3 linked regions of the Stegostoma tigrinum genome follow. The protein of the gene in region 1 interacts with the protein of each later gene in a biochemical or structural test. Links are inferred from orthologs where the notes say so. Each region holds a gene or a part of one and is shown in the gene's direction. Other genes may lie near its edges.

What was found. The genes of interacting proteins can lie anywhere in the genome.
Region 2: the proteins of tfap2a (region 1) and cited2 form a complex in vitro, tested with the Homo sapiens proteins (2 studies listed by BioGRID, with this or other methods). The link is inferred for Stegostoma tigrinum from reciprocal best matches to the Homo sapiens genes TFAP2A and CITED2.
Region 3: the proteins of tfap2a (region 1) and BTB/POZ domain-containing protein kctd15-like form a complex in vitro, tested with the Homo sapiens proteins (2 studies listed by BioGRID, with this or other methods). The link is inferred for Stegostoma tigrinum from reciprocal best matches to the Homo sapiens genes TFAP2A and KCTD15.

The regions. Positions count from the first base shown.
Region 1 is NC_081358.1:44,308,247-44,316,166, forward strand, and holds the start of tfap2a (transcription factor AP-2-alpha), read left to right. Parts: upstream 1-4,620; 5' UTR 4,621-5,266; coding exon 5,267-5,428; intron 5,429-6,043; coding exon 6,044-6,118; intron 6,119-6,416; coding exon 6,417-6,848; intron 6,849-7,920.
Region 2 is NC_081362.1:90,588,325-90,596,404, reverse strand, and holds cited2 (cbp/p300-interacting transactivator 2), read left to right. Parts: upstream 1-4,817; 5' UTR 4,818-5,127; intron 5,128-5,329; 5' UTR 5,330-5,341; coding exon 5,342-6,058; 3' UTR 6,059-7,224; downstream 7,225-8,080. UniProt on the Homo sapiens protein: Transcriptional coactivator of the p300/CBP-mediated transcription complex. Acts as a bridge, linking TFAP2 transcription factors and the p300/CBP transcriptional coactivator complex in order to stimulate TFAP2-mediated transcriptional activation.
Region 3 is NC_081369.1:65,289,852-65,297,865, reverse strand, and holds the start of BTB/POZ domain-containing protein kctd15-like, read left to right. Parts: upstream 1-4,658; 5' UTR 4,659-5,016; coding exon 5,017-5,077; intron 5,078-8,014. UniProt on the Homo sapiens protein: During embryonic development, it is involved in neural crest formation. Inhibits AP2 transcriptional activity by interaction with its activation domain.

The DNA.
Region 1 (7,920 bases):
ACTGGCAGGTACGTGAACTTATCTATTAACGGCACTCCTTTGGCATGATTACAGAAGTCCCAGTAGCCATTGAAAGTTGCTGCCTATTCCAGCGGTGCCTATATTTCATTATGTAGACGAACGTCATGGATAAAGTCAGTGAATTGGGACAAATAATTACAATTTGCAAATAAGTCAATGAGTCCAAACTTTCTATCAGTACTTACATTGTGTTTACCTGCATGACGCAACTAATACAAACTCTATAAAGTCTCAGGTTGAAAAAAGTTTAGATATCCAATTTACACTACTACAGGCGAAACCCTTGGTTTAGTTGATTTGTTTGAATGGGCCCTGAAAAGGTTAACTCGATAAATACGCCTCAAACCTTTCTGCCTTTTCCCTTTTGCGATGTGATTTGATTTTCTTGTCAGTTCACTATCGGCGCTGTGCTCCAGATACATAGAAAGCAGCCCACTGTAATCATCACCATGTTACAACTTTTCCTAACTTGGGGTCAATCACAATGAGATTACAAACAAGAAAGATTAGCCTCCAGTTTAACGAGCGATTATGTGACTGTTGTATTAGTCTAACATGTTCGTAGAACAACGCTAATCTTGGGGAAATAACTCGTTTTCTCAGGACAGATTAAATTTCATTTCTTCTTTCATATTTTATTTTTAAACACTTTTTTTCATATTGAAGAGTGGCAGTTTGTCTATCAACTCCCTTTTCATAAACACACAACTTGTTTCAGGTTCATTGGAAATTCTACTAAATAGACAATAACTTTTACAACTGGATTTCGGCAGCAATGGATTTAACTTTATTTGGTGTATTATTAAACATTTGAAGTTTAGAACCAATAGAGTATCAATACAAATATATTTCTGTGAAGCCTATGTGCTATTTGCTCGGTACAAAACTTGTAACCTAATTCCATTGTTCCATGGTTCCTAGATTTTCTCAAAGATTGAAGGTAGTCTGTAACAATGTGAGATAACAAGGTGTAGAGCTGGATGTTGCTTGTGGGCTCCAAATCAAGAGTCATGTTATCTATATAATTTTCCAAACATTTCAGTGTATTTTATAAACTGGAATTATGTACGACACAAATCTAACTTTGCTGCAATAATAATATTTAAAAAGTTAGAACACTTTTGGCGGACCTAAAGCTTTGAAATAAGGGGATATTCTGTCTCAGCTGACACAAAAAGACGTGCATTGAAAAATGAACTTGTTAGATGCTGAATATAAATACAGGTATTTATCATGGTAGGATTTATTGAAATCCATTGTTCAATACAAGAAACATAACGACAGTAACATTCAAACAGAAGTATTTGCTGTACTTTAAAGCCATTCTCTAACTTGTTTATGCTTTCACCCGCGAAACGAAAAAAAGTCAAAATATCTGAAGCACGCGTATAGGCCAGGCGCTAAAATGCTGTAGGATAGCTAGGTCCTAAAAGTCCTCTTCACCTGTGCACCAAGTTAAAATATTTAAATGCACAAATATCACGTACTTACACGTTGATTTAATAATCAATGCAGACTGTAACAGGTGTTTTTCTTTTTGCCCTATTTTGGAAAAAAAGTCAGAATGGGCGAATATTTTGAAAAAGATCAATAAGGAGAAGATAGTATTGTGAGTAATGGCGTTTCACCATCGTTCGCACACTTTAACGGAGAGGACTACATTTATTCTAGTCCACGGTAACAAGACCTTGTAACCAAATAAACAGATGTGAATATTTTCCTCGCCACAAAAGAAATCGCTGGCATTTTAAAACGAGGCGAACCTTGTTATGGTTACATGTGTATAGAATTACATTTAATTAAAAGAAGTGCAAATTGGGAGGGGAGGAGTTGGAATACATTTCACCGGTTTAGGCTGCTCAGAAACTGCTCGACAAAAGCAGAAATAAAAACAGCAAAGCACCGCTCTCCTGTTAAAAAGTGCTTCCATTCGACAGGAGCATATATTTTAATTATTCATTGTATTTTGCTATAGCGATCGATTAGAAGTTAATTTAATGTATGATTCTCAGATAAACTCATTTACTATATTCTTATACTCCACTAGTCTGCCAGCACAGAAGTGAACATTAAATGATTTCTAAATTAACTAGCATCGGTTTATATGAGATTAACAAATTTTCATTTGAAAATGGAGATGTGGAAAATATCTATTCTTTAAAAGAATCGACATTTGTACACAGGTAAAATAGAAAAGCTGCAGGTTCAGTGCTTTAAATCAATGATCTTGCAAACTCGTTATCTCTTTTAATGCACAGCGTTATATTAAGAGGTAACACCCCCTTCAACAGTTCGAATGAAAGTGGGAGATCACAGCTCATGCAAGCAGCTTGTAATGAATAAGTGCTTCACAGTAGAAAGTGAGCAAATTGGGGGGAAGAACATCACTTTTAAATGTAAAAATACTGCCGTACTCTTTGCAAGTGACTTAAGAGAACAGAACGCCATCAAGAAAAAAACATAAATTAGATCCGCGAGCTTTTAGAATAATTGCATAAACACGTTTAAAAATCCAGGTACAGCTGAATATTTTCGCCTCTTAGACCCAAAGCTGACTGTGACTCCAGCGATAGAAATAATTTTGTATTTAAATTTCAAAACGTTTGGCCTTTTGGAGTGAGGTGTTCTGAATCGGTGGATATCTCGGTCCTCTAATTAAAGACAATAGATTCTGATGACATCTTTGTCCTCGAGCTCCACCAAAAATGGTAATGAAGATTACCTGTAGACGACGCCTAGATCTAGTCACCCAGATTACCTGGGTTGAGAGTTACCCTTGCACACTTTCTCACCTTCAATGAAAGACAACGGTGCAACCTTGTCTCGATTCATAAATTCATAGTCAGACATTTATTATGGTAATAACTTTAATGAAGCGGTTGTGAAGAGGTTTGCAATGCGACGTTAGTTCAAAATAGTTTGCTTTTTTAGTCCCTGTTTACGTATGAATTGAATAGCTACATAACAAACGATTTCCACCTCAATGGCTGCAGTGCAACACTCTACACGCTTGTTATTTAAAGCCTCCAGATAGCAAAGAAAGGTAAATGCCGAAAGAAATTCTCGCTCACAAACCTAGAATCTCTCAGCTAGGAAACGAGACACAACCGCTGAAAGAATCTAAATACTGGTAGTAAAGCCACCTAATTATCAATGAAATTCAGCACTACTGAGGTTTACCGCTCTGATAAGCGTAAACGTGTCCGGGAAATAACTTGCTGAGGGAATGTTAAAATTGTCTTTACTTTGAATTTTCCTGAGGAGATGCTTTTTAAAAAAAATCAGCAAAAAGCAAGGAAGTCGGAATCAGTTCGGATTCGATTTAACTACATCCATTGTGAAGCTAATATTTAAGCTAAACTGTTTACTTAGTAAAAGGGCATGTAGATGAAGTTGGGTGCTTGATACGCAGAGGAATATGAAGTTAACTGTTGTATCAAAATATGGGTCATATCTATATATTTATTATTGCTATTTAACATAGTGAAAATGTGAAGCACACTTGCCCTGTTATTATAAAATAAACGACTGAGTTCGGTGTTTCAGCAAGATTATTGCCTTCATTGGAAGGCATAATCAGTTAACAACTAAACAGTGCATGTCTGCAGGGAGAAGAGTTAACCAAAGAAAGAAAGTCACATCGTACTCTTGTGCTTTGGTAGAATGGAAGGTAAGGGAGGGTTTAACAAGTAACAGAACAAGTAGCTCCATGTACATTTATAAGCTGTTGTCCACCGCCAATGTATTTATGTTGACGTCCATTGCCAGGCGGCAGGGCAGGCTCTCTACCTGTATCCATTGGAGCAGTAATGTGGTTGAATGAGTGTTTGGCTGGTGTTCATATGCTAATTGGGCTGTTATTAGCGAGTTACTAAAGAGCTGAGAGGGGAACACGATCGACCATTAGAGGGAGATCTCAGAGCACATACAGAGCGCTAAACCAACACACACTCTCTGTACAGGACTGTCCGCTCTCTGAGACATCCAGTCAACCACTTTTACACCAATCCATGAGAATGCTGTGGAAATTAGCGGACAATATCAAATATGAGGAGTGCGAGGTAAGCAATTTCATATTAGATTCAAAAGAATTAAAATGCAGTTTTCACTGCCCCGTCGAATGAAAAAAAGCTGTACATCACTCTCATTTAAACCGAATATTGCAAAGTTTTATTTTAAACATTAAGTATGCTTTCACAGTTATATATTCTATAGAAAGATGCAGCATGACAAAAACAAATGGAGCACTTGGCCATTCGGCTTAATAATATTGTAAAATAATGCAAACGCCGATTGCAGGGTGCGTACCTCAGCTCTATTGTGTGGCAATAGCTCACGTTTGTAAACAATACAGGAATCGAGAGTTAAGAATCGACGTCCACTAGATTAAGCATCTGAAATGATTAATGTTTGGTAAACCTGGCTGAAATCCTTCGCCTATAAATTCTTAACAGAACCCTCAAAAAGGGCCGCGTTGCTGGCGATGTTTGTGAAAGTAAAACCAAAATTAAAACGCTAAGCTTGCTGCACTTATTGTCACAGAACGCCTTGGGAAAGAGCAAGTTTGATCAAGCAAGGAAAAGCAGTTTGCTTTTGTAGTCAATTCTAATGCCTTAGTCCAAATTGTATATCTGTCTGCATTTGTTGCTTAAACGTTCGTAATCCCCACCCCCAACCACCCACCCTACCCCCCACAAAAAAACGCACATGGAAACATTGAAATCTGCACAAAATTGTGTCTTGGTAAAGATGAAAGATTTTTGTGTGGAAATGGCAGAAGGCGTTAGATGGTTCAGGCTAAAAGCCGTGATTGTGCCCGGATTGAGAAAGTTGCTCTAGAGTTTGCGAGGTAATATTTGGGGAGTTGTTTTGAAGTTGTATAGCCAGTCAAACGGGTTTGTACAGCAGGCTAGAAGGCAGTTCACACCACGGGCTAAACCAAGCGGCCGTTTAGTTTCACTTTATTTTTTTCAAAAACGCGGGGAGGAAATTAATAAAAAAAATATAAGAATCCAAGAAAAGTATGAAGGGTCGGCGCGAGCTTCCAGCGGAGTAGGTTTACGATCAGAAGTGAAATCCGTTTGTTTGGAGCCGCTTTCGAGTTGAGTTTAGACGAGAGTTGTTTTTTTAGGATCGCAGTAGGGGAGCAGCTTGCGTAAAAGTGCGTGAAAACGAATCAGGGCTTTGGAGACTCCATAGTGTCTCTGTCGCTCCCTCTGTCTCTTAACTTTTAACCCATTGCACGATGGATCAGACTACTAGTGACCCAGGATCAGGGCAGCAGTCACCTCCGGATAAAGAGCTGAAAAGGAAGAGAGCTGAGAGCGCAGGTAGTCGCTCTCCAGCCAGGAAGCGAGTGGCCGCCGACATGCCTTTGGCGTTTGCTGGATTCTCACACGATAACGAGGTGCAAATTCCTTCCCGCATCACACTCTTTCTTTCCTTCCCCTCTTTCTCTCTGTCTCTCTCTCTCCCCCCTCTGACTCTCACCATTCCTGCTCCCCTTCTCTCTCCCTCTCACTTTCGCATGCCCTCGATCACTTGAAAATGTTCTCTTCTTCCCTGTGATTCGTCAGAAACAGCAATGTGTGCCCCTCTATTCTCTCTCTCTCTCTCTCTGATTAGATACACTGATTCAACGGACGTCATTTATAACAGACACAGCTTTAAGTTGCTTCCTCGCTTCACGCTCGATTTCCGACCATTCTCCCCTTATTAAGTATTCGTGTAATATTAATAGTCATGAATATCTGCTATTATGTGCTGAGTGAAGCCACGGCTCGCCCTTAGAGGAGGAGAAAGAGAGAGAGAAAAAAAAGTTTGAAAAATCTACCGACGTGACGCCCTGAAACTAGACACAATTCTGATCATTTTTTTTTGTTTGTGTGTGTTGTTCCCAATGAAGAAATTTTTCAAGTTCTGATGGATTCGCTTGCCTTCCTCCTGCATGTGACTCCCCGGCGTTGTGATCGTGTTGTAGCTGTATAGTACTGGACTGTTTTTTCCAATTTTCCACCTCTAGGTCTCTCTATTTTTTCCCCCTGACGAACTCAGATCAGACTGCCCGCAGATGTTAGTGCACAGTTTCTCGGCCATGGTGAGTTTCAGTGAGATGCCACTAGGTTTAAAACGAGCCTCCCCCGCCCCCTCCCAAAAACAAAAACTGGTAGCACTTTGGATTGTGAAAATAAAAAAAATCTAGCATACCTCCTTGGAGGATAATATTTTGTTGAATTCTACCCCGTGCGATAATTTACAATTACTAATATGGCCAGTAAAACTTAAGCTTGCCACCGCCAACGAAAGTGTCATACCAGCGATGTTTCTTTAACAAAAAAGAATAAAATAATGTATTTTTTAAAAATTACAACTTTACATGTCTGATTTCATTGCAGGACCGGCATGACGGCACAAGCAATGGGACTCCACGGTTGCCTCAGTTAGGGACGGTCAGCCAGTCTCCGTACCCGACCGCCCCGCCGCTCTCTCACACTCCCAACACGGACTTCCAGCCGCCCTACTTCCCTCCTCCGTACCAGCCCATCTACCCGCAGTCGCAGGACCCCTATTCCCATGTGAACGACCCTTACTCGCTGAACTCGCTGCACCCGCAGCCCCAGCCGCAGCACCCGACCTGGCCTCAGCGGCAGAACCAGGAAGCGGGAATCCTCCACCAGCCCCGCGGGCTGCCCCAACTCGCCGGCCTGGACCCGCGGAGGGAGTACCGACGGCCCGAGGTCCTCCTCCACAGCACCCACGGACTCGACTCCGGCCTCGGGGATACATTGCCTATCCACAGCATCGCACATGCCATCGAGGATGTACAGGTCGGTTCTTTGAAAACCCTATGCAGTTCTTACTTTACACTGCTGCCTTGGTCTATAGTGAACTGTTTTCAAATTAAGGGGAGATTCTCAACCCATTTACCCACCCACCCCTTCACGACCACCTCTGGTAAAATCTGCTTTCGTGAACCCTGCATCTGCTTCAGATTTTGAAAATAAAATTGACAAGTTTAAATTGACAATCAAGCGAAACAAATCTATTTTTTCCAAATGACCAATACATATTAATGTTATGTATTAACATGCATCAAATGAGAGCAAATTTCTCCTCTGCATTGTTAGAAATATAAATTGCGTCTTCCCTTAATTAAATCCAGCACTTGCTTTTTAACGCTATCAGTTTCTCTCATTCATGTAAACAGTTTGGAGTAATGAAATTGTGTGGTGCGCTTTATTCAATATTTCAACTTGATAAAACAGACTTATTCCAATTTGGACTTTGCCCAGAGCTTCAAAATTGGAATCATTAATTTTAAACATATATATAAAATTCTGCATGTGCCTTAATTCCTGCCCCCAGCCCCCGCCCCCAATCCCAACGAGAAAATAAAAAAATCGTTTATTAGCTGTGGCGAGTTGCTGAAAGCTGGTTACAATGCCAGTGGTCATTGTTGAGTTACTGACCCGAGATTGCAAAATACAAAAGGCATGCGTTTAGTTTGTACTAAATTGTTCGTTTTTCAGCGCCGTGGCGAGCTGTGCTTTTAAATTATAATTTGAACTCGTTCCTTCTGCAACAACCTGGAATAATCATTAATGTGTTATTACTTACCTTGCAAACAAAGGATGCATATTAATGCGGGATGAAAACCATCCGCCCTCTTGGTAGCTGCGTTTAAGGCTATGCTCACACCCCCTCCCCAAATGTTACTCTTAATTTCGTTTAAAAAGTGCCGATTTTAAAGCTCTCGTAAAATATTCATAAGCAAGGAACCGTCATGCATTCATTTCCAAACAAATACTCATTATGAATGCTTAGAGCGATTGAAAGCTGTTCAACATTCAACATTCTACTTAATACCTGCGGCTATACTTTACCTAAATGTGACTGGCT
Region 2 (8,080 bases), on another chromosome or scaffold:
CTTGCTGCAACATGCTGGTCCTGAGGACTGGAAATGATCCTGGCTTCCCATATAGTTCAGGAAGAGCACACCATGTATTTGAGCTCTCCTGCCATGAGTTACACCTTTCAAATTAATCCTTTTGGAAGATGCTTAATTTCAAATAATATCAATTACTCAGAGGCCCTTAATCCTTGCTATTACAGAATCATAGATTCCCTACATGGAAGCAGGCCATTTGGCCCATCAAGGCCACATTGACCCTCTAAAACTCACCCGACCTATTACCCTGCATTGCCCATGGCCAATGCACCTAATCTGCACATCTTTGAACTGCAGGGGGAAACCAGAGCACCTGGAGGAAACCCATGCAGACACAAGGAGAATGTACAAACTCCACACAGGCAGTCACCCGAAGATGGAATCGAACCTGGGCCCCTGGCGCTGTGAGGCTGCAGTGCTAACCACTGAGCCACTGTTCCACTGCCAATGGAATACAGTCCTTACTATAAATGACAAATAAAGCAAAAGAATCACCTCTTCCCCTCTCCAAATTCCCACTGTGCTCCAAATTCCCAGAAACACCCACTTACTCTGGCTGTGTTTCTCTCAGGCTGTGTCTTCACCCAACTGCTCATACAAAGCTTACGACTGTGTTCTTCCAGCAGTCCCTTTTGACAGTCATACCTCAGCTAAAGTCCATTTCTGAAGAAGGGTCCCGACGCGAAATGTCAGCTTTCCTTCTCCTCTAATGATGCCTGGCCTGCTGTGTTCCGCCAGCTCCACACCTTATTACCTCAGACTCCAGCTTTGGCAGTTCTATCTCATCTAAAACCCCTCCTTGTTTTCCTGATTAGATCCCTCCCTCATCAGCCAACAATAGATCACTGTCTCACAAACACCTATCATGCCTGAAGGTCATTGTCAGCAATGCACCAGATCTGAGCAAGGATGTATTCCTGCTTCTAGTATTCCTTCCCCCAGCTTTCCAGCCTATGTTCTGTGTTCCAGCGCCACACTCCACCCTCAGCATTCTGAGTCAGAATTTTGTGAGTTCAGAGACTGAGCACCGAATTCAATGTCGATGCATCAGTACAGTATAGAAGAAGTGCATGCTGTCAGGAATGCTGCATTTCAGATAACATGTAAACCAAAGTCTTTTCCATTTACAGGCCAGCATGGGGCAAGCAGGTACATTCCCCCCAATAAAAGCTAAATGCTGCAGATAAATCTGAAACAAACACGTAGAATGATGGAGAAACTCAGCAGGTCTGGTATGTATGGAGAAACAGAGTGAGCATTTTAAATCCGGTGTGACTTCTGCAAAACTGAATTAATTCCATCTTATTCAGAAGAAGAGTCATTCTAGACTTAAAATGTTCACTCTGTTTCTCTCTCCACAGATGCTGCTAGATCTGGTGAGTTTCTGCACATTTCACTTGTTTGTTTCAAGTTTGTCCCAATGCCCTGATCAATATTTGTCTGAGTCACTGAAGACAGATTATCTGGTCATTTTCACATTGTGGTTTGTGGGACCTTGCTGTGCACAAATGCTTGCCGCATTTCCTAAATTGTAATAGCAACTGCACTTCAAAATGTAGTTCTCAGGCTATAAAGCACCTAGGGACCTCCTGTGGTCACAAATGATACAATCAAATTGCAATTTTAAAAAATATTAGGTTTAATGTTTTTTCAGTTACAAAGGTCCATGACAGTACAATTTTCCTTTAAGATTCAATGCAACTGTGTTCAATAAGAACAATTAATTAATTTGCGATAGTCAGTGATACTTCAAAAAATAATTATTTTCTTCAAATTGCCAAAGGAGCAGCAAGGTACAGCATTTGATCCATCTGTAATGAGGTCTGACTGGGACCATTATGTTCCCACTAAACTGATTATCTTAACAGAGAGATGGTTTTTTTCATTCAAATTATCCGTAATGAGTTAAAAAGAGAACATTTCAAATGTTAAAAAAAACTGAAATAAAAATGGAAATTGCTCAAAATAGCCAGTAGAGCTACATGCTGATTATAAATAGAAATGACAGGCCAGTATTGAGTATAAACCTGCTTTCCTACGCTGCATACTTTTAAGAATCAAGCAAAATCATTGCTGTCCTGCTAACAAAATAACACTGAGAGCAGATTCTTGCTCAAGACGTCAACCAATTCACAAAAAAACAGAATAAAAGTCTCAAGGGTGAAACCTCATAACGGTGATGGCCATTTAAAGATATGAGTTTCTGTCAGTGCCCAAGTGCATCATATTGAGTGAGATGACGACCAGGTCGGTGCCACACCTGAGTCAGCTGGGTCTGTGTAACTGGTTTCAGTATTAATGTAGTGTGAGGGTGGGGAAGCGCAGCAATCCAGTGACTCCCATACTGGGCAGTGCAGGTCTGTACAATACTGGGTGAGAAAAAGAGAAGTGGGCTGGGAGTGTGTGTGTCTGTGTGTATAGGTGTGTGTGGTGTATGTGCACATGCGTGTGTGTGTGGTATGTGTGTATATGTGTTCGAGTGCGTGTGTATGTGTGGTATGTGTGTGTGTGTTTATGGGCATGTGGGTGAGTATGCGTGTGCATGGGTGCGTGTGTGCAAGTGGTGAGTGTGTGTGTGGGAGGGGTGAGTGTGTGCATGTGGGTAAGTGTGCATGTGTATTTGTATGTGTGTGTGTGTGTGGGTGAGTATGCATGTGCTTGGATGTGTGTGTGCAGGTGGGTGAGTGTGCATGGGCTTGTGCGAGTGGGTGAGTGTGTGTGTGTGTGTGTGTGTGTGTCTGTGTGTGTTTGTTTGTCCCACAAAATGACAACAGTGACCACACATGGCAGGTACCTGTACATGGAGTGTTTTAATGCAGCAAGGCTCCTACGTTGCACCTGCCACATGGTTCTGGTTGACCAGGAGATTTGTTCCCACCTTAGTGTCTGCCAAATCAGAAGGATTTCCAGATTGGTAATCAGCCTGTATTGGTCACATTATGGCCCATGCTCTGTAACCCATCAGGTCCTGAGGTTGGATTTGAGCTCTCAGCTTTTGTCCTACCACAAGAACGCCAAGTGGGGCTTGACTGCTAAATTGAAAACCATTCTGTTAGAATTAGGATTAGAATTATTGTCACATGTACTCAGATAAGTACAATAAAAGTTTGCAAGTCACTACTTAGGGTGCCATTTAGGTACAAAGAGGCCAGCTGATGAAAGGCTCGGGGAAGCATGCAGTCAGTGTGTTAGCTGGGGTTCGGTTGTTAGCTGCTGAGTCAGGTACATTGTGGGTTCAAGTCCCTCTCCTAGACTTTGATTACAATGGCTCACCTGACAGTCCCAATGGACAGAGCACTTCACTGCTACAGGTTCATGTTTCAGATGAGGTATTAAACTGGTACACTGTTAGGGAGGTACACTGTTAAAGATCCCATAGAGCTATTTTGAAGGAAAGCAGTTCTCCCTGGTGTCCTGGGCCATAACCATCCTTCAATCAACATCATTGAGACAGACTACATGGTCATTATCTGTTTCTAGGGGCTTGCTGTGCAGAAATTAGCTGCACGTTCTCTACATTACAACAGCAACTACACTTTTAAAAAGATTTTCATTGGCTGTAAAGTGCTTCAGGATCTCTGGCGGTTGTGAAGGATGCTACACAAATGCAATTCTTTCTTTTTGTAGCATAGGAAACCTGCAAGACACTAAGGGAAATGAAAGGCAGTGAAGGATCCGAAGGAAGGAGAGCTTCAATCTTTCCGGATGGTGGTGATGTGGAAATGCAAATTGGTCATTTTTTCCTTTCTTAATCCAGCAAAAACCTTTTTTTAAAAAGACACTATTAAATATGGGCATAAAACAAAAGCAAAATACTGAGAACGCTGAAAATCTGAAAGAAGGGTTTAAAAAGGATTCAAAATTTTAACTCTGCTTTCTCTCTACAAGTGCTACCAGACTTGCTGAGTTTCTCCACAATTTCTGTTTCTGTTTGAGGCTGAGATGGATAGACTCATGATCAGCCAGGAAATTAAGGGATACGGAAAAGGCAGGAAAGTAGATATGAGGGATGTCAGATCGACCAATGATCCCAGTGAATGGCCAGGTAGGCTTGTCAGGCTGAATGGCCTATGCCTGTTCACAGTTCTTACGATCCAATGGTCTTTTCCAGAACTCCAAAAGGTCATTTCTGAAGGCGACTTACATGAGACTTGGGTTGTCAACTCTGCTTTCTCTCTCTACAGATGTTGCCAGACCTGCTGAGTTTCTCCAACAATTTCTGTTTGTGTGAGTTTCTCCTGCACTTTCTCCTAGTAAATACATGATACCGTCATGGATAGACGATGCAAATAACGCATTCTGTACAATTAGACTGTTTTGAAGCACAGGCGCTGGACTCAAAACATTAACTCTGTTTCTCCCTCCACAGTTTTTCCAGCAATTTCTGTTTTTGCTTCAGATTCCAAGCATCTGCAGTTCTTCGCTGGAAACAAAAATTGCTAAAGATCACAGCTGGTCACACAGCATCCACGGAGAAAGACAGCAAGCTAATGCTCCCAGTCTAGACAACTCTTCATCAGAGCTGACGCTGCCCGACCCACTGTGATTTCTAGCATTTTTTTGTATTCAGTATAGATTCCAGTATCTGCAGTAATTTGCCCCTGCATCTGCATTTGTTTTTTTATATGAACGAATCTGTTGCTGCGTTCTACGTCTTTATTTTTTAATGTTCTTTTGCATTTCCCTGTTCTGCAATAGTTACGTGAGCGAAGGAGGAGATTCTGGCACCTGGTATTCGGTTTGACTTCCTGATCCAGATCCACATTCCAGAGAAAGTCTATGCCGGGTGTTCAGTCTGGCCTCAGGAGCCCTATATTAAGAGTGGCCGAGGCAGCCGAGTGAACATCTTTTGTTGGTTAATCCTTGCGAGTTTGCGACGTCTGATCCTCTAGCTTAGCAGCACGAACATATTTATATATATATATATAGAGAGAGAGAGAGAGAGACAGGGGCATAAGGAAGAGTGCGGCTGAGAATAGTCTGTACATAGAGAGTTGGTGAATGTGCAAAGGCAGAAAAGCAGAATAATCAATATTATTCTCTTTCTTTGCCCAGAGATCAGTGAGAAAGCAGAGGAGGAGAGAAAGTGCATTTGTTGCAAAAGAGGTAAGTTGCAAATTGTATATTTTTTAAGTCTTGGCTTTGCAAAAGGTTTGGACAAAGTTGCTCATGGGAGAATTCATGGAGTTGCGAGCTGTCCAGTTTGCATTCTTCCATATATTTTGCAATTGTTGTTATTTTGTCTTGCCTTCTTTCATTCACGAGTGCATTTCTTTATTTCCCACCCCCTCCCCTCTCTGCATTGAAGTTGGACGGGGCGATGGCCGAGCGTATGATGAGCCACGGACGTTTCCCGGAGGGGCATAGCGGGCTCCACGTCCGCCGGATGAACCTGAACCCTTACCCCCAGCACCAGCACGCCTACAGCGGCTTGATGAGTGAGCACCCGGCCGCTACCTCCTTGCTGCATTACCCCGGACCCAGCAACGTGAACTCCTCCAGCGGCGGCTTGAGGCATGCGCTGGTCCCCGGCAGCAGGCAGGGGGTTCCAGTCGGTCATCTGAATAACATGCCCCCCAACATCAGGTACACATCTAGGCAGCAGCAACAACATCACTCCCATCCTCCCCATCCCCAGTATATGGGACAAGGAGTGGCTGGGGGCAGCCCTGCAGCGCAGCTTGCGGCCAGCATGCATTTACAAAAGCTGACCAACCAGTACTACGGCCACCAGCAGCAACACTACAGCATGACGGACCTGCATCCCGCTAGCGCCTTGGGTCACCAACAACAACAGTACAGGGAAGTAAAACATCATAGCTCTTCAATGCCAGCGAGTCACCACATGTCTGCAACAATGCTGCCCCCCAATGCCATAGACACGGACTTCATCGACGAAGAGGTCCTCATGTCCTTGGTGATTGAACTGGGTTTGGATCGCATCAAGGAACTGCCTGAGCTGTGGCTGGGACAGAATGAGTTCGATTTCATGACTGACTTTATTTGTAAACAGCAAACCAGTCGGGTGAGCTGCTGAGAGAGTGTGTACTGAAAAGGATTCTGGAAAGGAAAAACAACGCAAAAAAAGACTTCCATCTACTGAACTCAGAAAGATTTATTCTTTGCAACGCGAGAGAGAGTGCGAGAAATAATCTGTTGTTTTTAGATTTTAAATATCCATTCATCAACTGAGTGACTTTTTTTTGTTTAAATCATGTTGTTTGATAACTCCTTCACTGCACATGTAACCACTCTGTACATGTAACTTTCAATGTCTTTAGTGGCCTGTTAAATGTTCATTTTTAATTTAAAAAAAAACAAAAGAAAACCGAAACAAACCGTTCAGAAAACAGTGGAGCACCCGCAAGCAGAAAATTTGATCACACCATCTGGGTGTTTTATTTTGAATGAAGCACATTTTATTTTGAAAGAGAAATGTATGGGTTAACTTTTTTTTGAAGCAGAATTGTTCTGAGGAGAGAGAGGGAGTGAGAAAAATCTGTTATGTTTTCCTCAAAAGCATTGTGAAGACAGTTAAAGGAATTATATAATCACCATTCTTTTTGTTCTCACCTACCAACACTAACACAAAAACAGTCATTTTAGTTTTGAGTGATGTGTGGTATGATGATGTATGTATCAGTTTGATTCATTCAGTTTTCAAAGAGTTGCAGTGATTTACCACCCCCCCAATCCCACCCACAACCACCCCCCACCCCAGGACTGTAACTTAAAACCAGGGACAGTAGTCTTAACACAAAAGATTTAACATTCCTCCAGCCTTGACGAGATCTTCATGACTGCGTCACCTTCCCACCCACCCCCCTCCTGCCAGCCTCTGTCTCTCAAATGTTTGGACATTGCAGGGTGGAACGTGTACGCATGTGTTTGTGTGCATGTTTGTGTCTGTGTGTGCGACTAAAGCATTTCTCAAAAGGTGGTTACATTCTCTTTTTTTAAAAAAAAACAGTTCATTTGTTTGCTGTTTACTTGCCACTACAATGCCAATTTATCGTTTACATGATAGTCTGTGTTGAAGCCATTTTTTTTGGAAGGGGAGGGAAACGAAAAAAAAATGGACAGTATTTTTTTACAAACTTAAATATTGCTGCAGAAATGTGTGTTTTCTTAATTTATTATTCAATGCTTCATTTATTTTGAGAAGGTTATAATAAAGACCCTGGAGATTACAGTAACTGTAAATCACTCAGTCTTTTTGTCAAGAAATTTGTTTTCAGTGCTGTTGACAATGTAGCCTTAAGTAGACTGGTGTTATGCATCAAGTTATTGTGAAACTTCTGGGAGTCGAGGAGATGGGGGAGGGGAGATGTGGCTCTGGGAGGGGCACAGAAAGCAAGAGAAGCAAATGGGGCTCGTCCAACCAAATCAGGATCACAAAAAGGCATTTGAACTGAGCCATTTTGTAGTTTTTTTTTCCGGAAAGCTTTTTTGTTTGCTTCGCTTTAACAAATGGGAGGTGAACAGTGGGTTAAGAATATATCATGCCACCGCATCCCCCCACACCCCCCGCTCCACACATCTTCAGCTCTCCCAACTAGCTAGCTGCAGTTGGAGAGAAGTGTCTCTTATAAAGGCACAGTTCACTGCCACCTCTTCATCTCTTGAGATGGCATTCTTCCACTGAATGGCTTCAGGGTGAAATCTCTCCACGTGGCCTTATTAACATGTTCAGGGGTGGGGGAGACCACTAACTGGTAACATGACAAGCTGCAAAACAGGAAGAGACTTGTAATCCCTTTTGTGTGTGCATGCGCTTGTTTCAACCTCTGTTCTGTGCATGTTCTTGTCTCTGTTTTTACCTATTTGTGTGTGTGTGTTGTGCATGAAGCGTGTCTTAAAGGGCTACCTCTATTTAAATATCGATCAGTGTGTTCTCAGTCGTGGTGCCTGTATTTTTGTAAACTAATTAATTCTGGGGCTTTTTTTTTGTAATTTCTGCCCAGCCATCTGTGTATCTTTTTGTACTGGAGGTCTGTGTGTGTTTTGCTGCTTTTCACAGTCTGAGTTTGTGTTTGTGTGACTTGTTCTCTGTGTCTGT
Region 3 (8,014 bases), on another chromosome or scaffold:
TATTCCACACCCTGAGTCTAGGGTTGGGCTGCAGTGGGGGTGTTGGAGTCTGTCTGCCATTGAGAATGAAAATGTCTGCGGGGATTGGGGTGGGAGCTGCAAAGAGGGAATGTGGGGAGAGAACGAGTGTGAGGATGGATCGGAGGAGAGTGGAAGATAAAAAAAAACCACCGTGTGGGGGCTGCGTGGCGGGTGAGGCAGGCGCGCAGCAGGGGGCTGCGTGGCGGGTGAGGCGGGCGCGCAGCAGGGGGCTGCGTGGCGGGTGAGGCGGGCGCACAGCAGGGGGCTGCGTGGCGGGTGAGGCGGGCACGCAGCAGGGGGCTGCGTGGCGGGTGATGAGAGGGATGGGATGCATTAAAGGAGAGATGCAGCGGGAAGAGAGGGAACCAGTCAGCAAAGGAAAACTCTACTAATTCGGAACTGGGAAAACTTTGATATCTCTGAGGAAATGAACCTCTTGCAAAAGCGTGTTAAATCTCTCACTTACATCTGCCAGTTTTCATTAACTGTGATTTGGGGAGAAGTGCAGTGGATGCCACAGTAATCAACATTAGCAATTATTAAATCTTAATCTGAGATTGAGATCAGAGATACAATAACTTCCTGGTTGAAATCCTCCCGCTGTACGTATGATTAATGGAGAAGATGTGGCTAGGGCGATGGCTTCATGTATGTAGGTGTGTGCGCGTGTCTGATTTTGAATATTTTTGTTAGCATGTACCTGTTGTCTCCCAATTAAAACACTTTGTGTCCATGAAATTAATGCTTTCCTTATCAGCTGTGGCTTTCTCTCGTGAGAAATGTAGAATAATCAGGAGATAACAAGGTGTAGAACTGGATAAACACAGCAGGCCAAGCAGAGTCAGAGGAACAGGAAGGCTGATGTTTCGGGCCTAGACCCTTCTTCAGAAATGGGAGAGGGGAAGGAGGGTTCTGAAATAAATAGGGAGAGAGGGGGAGGTGGAAAGAAGATGGATAGAGGAGAAGATAGGTGGAGAGGAGACAGACAGTTCAAAGAAGCAGGGATGGAGCCAGTAAAGGAGAGTATAGGTGGGGAGGTAGGGAGGAGATAGGTCAGTCCAGAGAGGACGGGCAGGTCAAGGGGGTGGGATGAGGTTAGTAGGTAGGAAATGGAGGTGCAGCTTAAGGTGAGAGGAGGGGATAGGTGAGAGGAAGGACAGGTTAGGGAGGTGGGCTCGAGCTGGGCTGGTTTCGGGATTTGGTCGTGGGGGAGGAGATTTTGAAGCTGGTGAAATCCACTTTATACCATTGGGCTGCAGGGTTCCCAAGCAGAATATGAGTTGCTGTTCCTGCAACCTTCGGGTGGCATCATTGTGGCACTGCAGGAGGCCCATGATGGACATGTCGTCTAAGGAATGGGAGGGGGAGTTGAAAAAGCTCGCGACTGGGAGGTGCAGTAGTTTATTGCGAACCGAGGGTAGGTGTTCTGCAAAGCAGTCCCCAAGCCTCCGCTTGGTTTCTCTGATGTAGAGGAGGCCACATCGAGAACAGCGATAAAGTATACCACATTGGCAGCTGTGCAGGTGAACATCTGCTTGATGTGGAAGGTCTCTTGGGGCCTGGGATGAGGGTGCAGGGGCACATGTAGGGGCAGGTATAGCATTTCCTGTGGTTGCAGGGGAATGTGTCGAGTGTGGTGGGGTTGGAGGGGAGTGTGGTCCTACTATCTCTAGAATAATCAGGGTATTGATTATTTAGGATATTGATGAATTCTTCTAATTCTGCTTCTGTCTGAGTCTGAATGCTGTGTATGTCTACACATTCTTGTGTCACACCTCACTGGGGTCGTGTACTGAAAATCAAGTCACATTAGGCCCCGAGCCAATCAGAGTGCTGTTGACAGGCAGAAGGCCTTTATCATTGACAACTGGTCAGAGTCCACCGACCAGGCAGTGACTGTGTGCACGGTCTGTGTCCAGCTCATCAGTAACCAGCTCCTCTGCTTGAACAAATAGCTGTGTAGACGCCACTTGTGATGAGTGTCGATAACCTGCTTTAGAATGTGCAGCACTCCTTCAACAATCCCTGGTCTTTAAAACAATCTTCTTCCCATTTCAGTCAATAATCAGAGAAATAAAATGATATGGTCACGACAACTTTTACTGCGGGCCAACACCTAATAAATGGTTAGTGAAAATAAAGAACTAGTTCCTGCAAATCAAAAAATTAAAAGCCTTGTGATGGGGGAAATTGTTTTGTTTCCTGGTACAATTCTAAAGACTTCATGTTCTTTTGTGGGATGTGGACAATTAGCACTTTGAAGCAATACTTCACCTGCACTTCCCAGCATCTAATAGAACATAGAACATTACAGCACAGTACAGGCCCTTCGGCCCTCGATGTTGTGCCGACTTGTCATACCGATCTCAAGCCCATCTAACCTACACTATTCCATGTACGTCCATATGCTTATCCAATGACGACTTAAATGTACCTAAAGTTGGCGAATCTACTACCGTTGCAGGCAAAGCGTTCCATTCCCTTACTACTCTCTGAGTAAAGAAACCACCTCTGACATCTGTCCTATATCTTTCACCCCTCAATTTAAAGCTATGCCCCCTCGTGCCCGCCATCACCATCCTAGGAAAAAGGCTCTCCCTATCCACCCTATCTAACCCTCTGATTATTTTATATGTTTCAATTAAGTCACCTCTCAACCTTCTTCTCTCTAATGAAAACAGCCTCAAGTCCCTCAGCCTTTCCTCATAAGACCTTCCCTCCATACCAGGCAACATCCTAGTAAATCTCCTCTGCACCCTTTCCAAAGCTTCCACATCCTTCTTATAATGCGGTCACCGGAACTGTACACAATACTCCAAGTGTGGCCGCACCAGAGTTTTGTACTGACTTGACTGTTTAGGTTTAGAGATGTTTAGGTTAGGTGGGCTATAGAGGGATGGGTCTGGGTGGGATGCTCTGAGGGTCAGCACGGACTCTGTGGGGCCGAAGGGTCTTTTTCCACAGTGTAGTTTTCTAACTCTGTCACTGAGTATTTCTGCCCTCTGTGTGACTGACTGCTTTGTTGGTGTGTAGGTACCTGGTTGATGGTGACCTTTTGCTGATTTTGGGGGTGTACTCACAGTGGACAGCAATATTGATAAGGACACCATAGTGTCTCCCTATTGCTCTGTGTGTCTCCCTGACTGAACCCTCACATGATGACCTGTATTTCCTGTATCTGAGGTTTGTAAGGGTGGCCCGGTGGCTCAGTGGTTAGCACTGCAGCCTCACAGCGCCTGGGACTCGGGTTCGATTCCCGCCTCGGGCAACTGTCTGTGGGGAGTTTGCACATACTCCCCGTGTCTGCGTGGGTTTCCTCCGGGTGCTCCGGTTTCCTCCCACAGTCCAAAGATGTGCAGGCTGGGTGGATCGGCCGTGCTACATTGCCCGTAGTGTTCAGGGGTGTTTAGATCAGGTGGGCTACAGAGGGATGAGTCTGGATGGGATGCTCTGAGGGTCAGCACGGACTTGTGGGGCCGAAGGGTCTGTTTCCAAACTGTAGGGACGCTATGGATTCTACGATTGTGGGTGGAGTCACATTTAGGAACATCTGAATGAACTAGGATCAAATCTATTTGGGAATTCAGGAGAAATCCTGATCCAAACAGCCAGAAAAATGTGGCTCATTCACAGGAAACCGGAACTACACGAGGAAACCCACTGTAGTTCGCTCACTGAGACTGGGAGAGGATAAATTGCAGAGAGAGCTACATAGAGTCACAGAGATGTACAGCACAGAAACAGACCCTTTGGTCCAACTAATCCGCGCCAACCAGATATCCTAAATTAATCTAGTCCCATATGCCAGCATTTGGCCCATTTCCCTCTAAACTCTTTCTATTCATCCAGATGCCTTTTAAATACAGTAATTGTACCTGCCTGCCCGACTTCCTCTGGCAGCTCGTTCCGTACATATACCACCCTCCGTGTGAAATGATTGCCCTTTAGGTTCCTGTTAAATATTACTGACCCCACCTCACCTTAAACCTATATCCTCGAGTTTTGGAATCCCCCCCACCCCAGGGAAAAGACCTTATCTATTCACCTTATCCAGGCCCCTCATGATTTTATAAACCTCTGCAAGGTCACCCCCTCGGCCTCCGACGTTTCAGGGAAAATAGCGCCAGCCAGTTCAGCCCCTCCCTGTGGCTTAAACCCTCCAAGATAAGGGAGGGACAAATAGAAAGGCTTGAGACTGAGGGTGGGAGGAGGTTGATGTGTACCACAAACCCTAACATGGTTTATTTGGGCCAACTGGCCTGTCTCTAGGCTATAAAATCCAGTATAATTTGCGATGTTACTTTTTTTTGTCATGCTGTTCCAGAAAATTTTAAAGAAAGGCTGTGCTTCACCTCAGTGCCCCCCACGAAATAATGAGAAATATTCTGTATTTAGAAACGAGCAAGTAAATTAAAAATGGATTGAAGCTACTTGCTAGAAAGTAGCACAGGCACCAAGTGGATTGTGTTCATTTTGAAACGTTTAGTTTCATATTAAATCAAGGTCCGTGCGCTCTGTTGCTCTGTTTATTATGTTTGTGCCTGGAGCCAAGGTCCATGTTTTTGAAGCCTTCTGTGAGGAGGTGGGTGGGAGGGGAAAGAGTTGGATGTTTTCCCTACTTTAAAAAAGGCAGAGTGTTGCACTACTGTAGCACCTTGCACATCCTCAGAGGTTGCAAAACACTTCTCAGTGAATGTTATGCTTGTGATGTGCAACGCTTTTGCAACGCAGGAGATTCAGCGACAAGCTGTGTCAGCCCCAATAACCCCTGTCTATTAAAGGATTAGTCTTCATCTTCCCGAAGGCTGGAAAGTTTCCTGCTGTTATCCTCGTGGGATTGAGTAACACTTCCCAACATTGATCCCAAATCCCGAGATTCCCACAAATCTGGGTCATGACAGTCAGCCCCTCATCGAGTCATTGGCTCCAAACGTTACCAATCCAAATTCCTGCCGCCTGCCTGGCCACAGGATTCGGCAAACGGAGAATCAGCTGATGTCCGACTGGGAATCACAGATCTTGTGGGAAGTCAGTGTTGCCTCCTGCTGGATGCAAGGTAAGATCTGCCTGTGAAGTCTTCCTGTGCAAAGGTTGGCCCACACCTTGGGCTTTGGCCTGAGGGTAGTTACTCTGGCGAGGAGGATCAGGAGGGAACAAGTATTGGGTTGTGATACAGGATGGCATTTTAATGAAATACAAGGGTGATCTCAAACTCATACCATATCATTCTGAGTCATTTAGAACTGCGCCCCGGGGAGAGTCGGCCCCTCGTGGGCCTGGTGCTTGTGTACTTGCTGCTAGCTCTTGTGCCAGGCTGTTGCTGTGCCTGGGTGGGTACTGCCCAGTGCGCCCCCCTTTGACAGGGTGGTTTAGTGTAACATCCCACGGTCACTGTTCAGTGTGAGTTGCTCGGTCGGTGGGTTTTGTACAATCAGAGGGCGCTGTCCTCGCTGCTGTGGTCTCCCATGTGTGCGTGCCGTGCTTTGGCCTGTAACTGGGGACTGAGTGGCTCAAGTCCAGAACTGTGGCACATCTTGCCGAAGCCATGAGAGCTGTCTTTGCAATGCCCCTGGCGAGTTGAATTTGAGGGATGGGTGACCTCTTGGAAGAGTCTAACAATGAGGTCATGTAAGGCCAACAGCAGCCACAAAGGGAAGTGGTGGTGTTGGCACAAAACTGGAGATACTGGGCTAATCTTTCAGAGCAGGCGCTGGTTACGGTGATATTTGATCAAGTTGTTCAAAACTGACAGTTTTGATTCTTTTCTACATTTCTGGGACGTGGAAGTTGCTGGCAAGGACTGTATTTATTGTCCATCACTAACTGCCAGTGAGTAGATGCTAGTGAAATAGATCAGGGAGAAGCTGTTTCAAGTGGCACGAATATTAAATAATACCAGAGGCAGCTGGAGAGAGTATCACTTCCCATGAGTTTTAGTGATTGTTGAGCCCTGTCTTTCAGTTTGGATAAAGAAGGAAAGGCCAGGAGAGTAGAACCAATTCAACTGCACTTTGAAAGAGTCAACAAAGATACAATGGGCTGAATGGCATCCTGTGCTACATTGGTCAATGATTCAAAATGACACAGCAGTGTCTGCCTGCCTGTCTCTGCCCCTGCCCCTGCCTGTCTCTGTCTCTGCCCCTGCCCCTGCCTGTCTCTGCCCCTGCCTGTCTCTGTCTCTGCCCCTGCCTGTCTCTGTCTCTGCCCCTGCCTGCCAATCTCTGTCTCCGCCCCTGCCTGTCTCTGTCTCTGCATGTCTGGGTGAATGCGTCTATTGAGTTTGTTTGAATGTCCTAAAGGTATCAAGGCAATAAACTGTGATTGGCTGAAATATCAGTCCTTTAAATCCATTAAGAGAATGTTGGGAGTGCCCCGAATTGAAAATGTGAAGATTGAAATAATATAAAGATTAGTGTGGAGTAAATGAATATACTGCGTCTGAAATCCATGGCTGTACATGATAGCAGGAGAACGCTTTGGGACTATTGGTCATAATTCTATTTGTTTTAAAATAGTCATGGAAAAGGATATGCCTTCCATAAAAGTTAAATTTTTCAATGGGAGTAAGTCAAATCTTAATGGTATGTGACAAGTACTTCAAAAATTGATTGGATAGAGTGTTTGCAGGTGAAGGGACATCAGACAAGTGGGAGGCTTTCAAAAGTGTGATAGTGTGAGTTCAGAGGCATCATGTTCCTGTGAGAGTGAAGGATAAGACTGGTAGGATTAGAGAACAAAGGATGAATAAAGATATTGAGATTCTAGTCAAGAATAAAAAGAATCATGTATTGGACATAGGCAACTGGGTTCAAATGAACCTCTTGAATGGTATAGAGAGTGTAAGGGCATTCTTAAGAGGGGGATCAGTAAGGCTAGGAGGGAGTATGAGATAACCTTATCTGCCAAGGCTAAGGGTAATCCAAAGAGATTCTACAAGTATATAAAAAGCAAAAAAGCAACTAGAGAGAGTAGGGCTTCTTAAAGATCAAAAGGTCAACTTTGTGTTGAACCTCAGGAGATGGGAGAAATATTAAATGAATATTTCACTGATAATGGGAACTGCAGATGATGGAGAATCCAAAATAATAAAGTGTGAAGCTGGATGAACACAGCTGGCCAAGCAGCATCTTAGGAGTACAAAAGCTGACGTTTCGGGCCTAGACCCTTCATCAGAGGGGGGTATGGGGAGAGGGTTCTGGAATAAATAGGGAGAGAGGGGGAGGCGGACCAAAGATGGAGAGAAAAGAAGATAGGTGGAGAGCAGAGTATAGATGGGGAGGTAGGGAGGGGATAGGTCAGTCCAGGGAAGACGGACAGGTCAAGGAGGTGGGATGAGGTTAGTAGGTAGGAAATGGAGGTGCAGCTTGGGGTGGAAGGAAGGGATGGGTGAGAGGAAGAACAGGTTAGGGAGGCAGAGACAGGCTGGACTGGTTTTGGGATGCAGTAGGGTGAGGGAAAGAGCTGGGCTGGTTGTGTGGTGCACTGGGGGGAGGGGACGAACTGGGCTGGTTTTTGGATGCGGTGGGGGTAAGGGAGATTTTGAAGCTGGTGAAGTCCACATTGATACCATTGGGCTGCAGGGTTCCCAAGCTATTCCTGCTATTCCTGAGTTGCTATTCCTGCAACCTTCGGATGGCATCATTGTGGCACTGCAGGAGGCCCATGATGGACATGTCGCCTAAGGAATGGGAGGGGGAGTTGAAAAAGCTCGCGACTGGGAGGTGCAGTTGTTTGTTGCGAACCGAGCGGAGGTGTTCTGCAAAGCGGTCCCCAAGCCTCCGCTTGGTTTCCCAAATGTAGAGGGAGCCACACCGGGTGCAATGCATACAGTATACCACATTGGCAGATGTGCAGGTGAACATCTGCTTAATATGGAAAGTCATCTTGGGGCCTGGGATGGGGGTGAGGGGGGAGGTGTGGGGGCAAGTGTAGCTCTTCCTGCGGTTGCAGGGGAAGGTGCCGGGTGTGGTGGGGTTGGAGGGGAGTGTGGAGC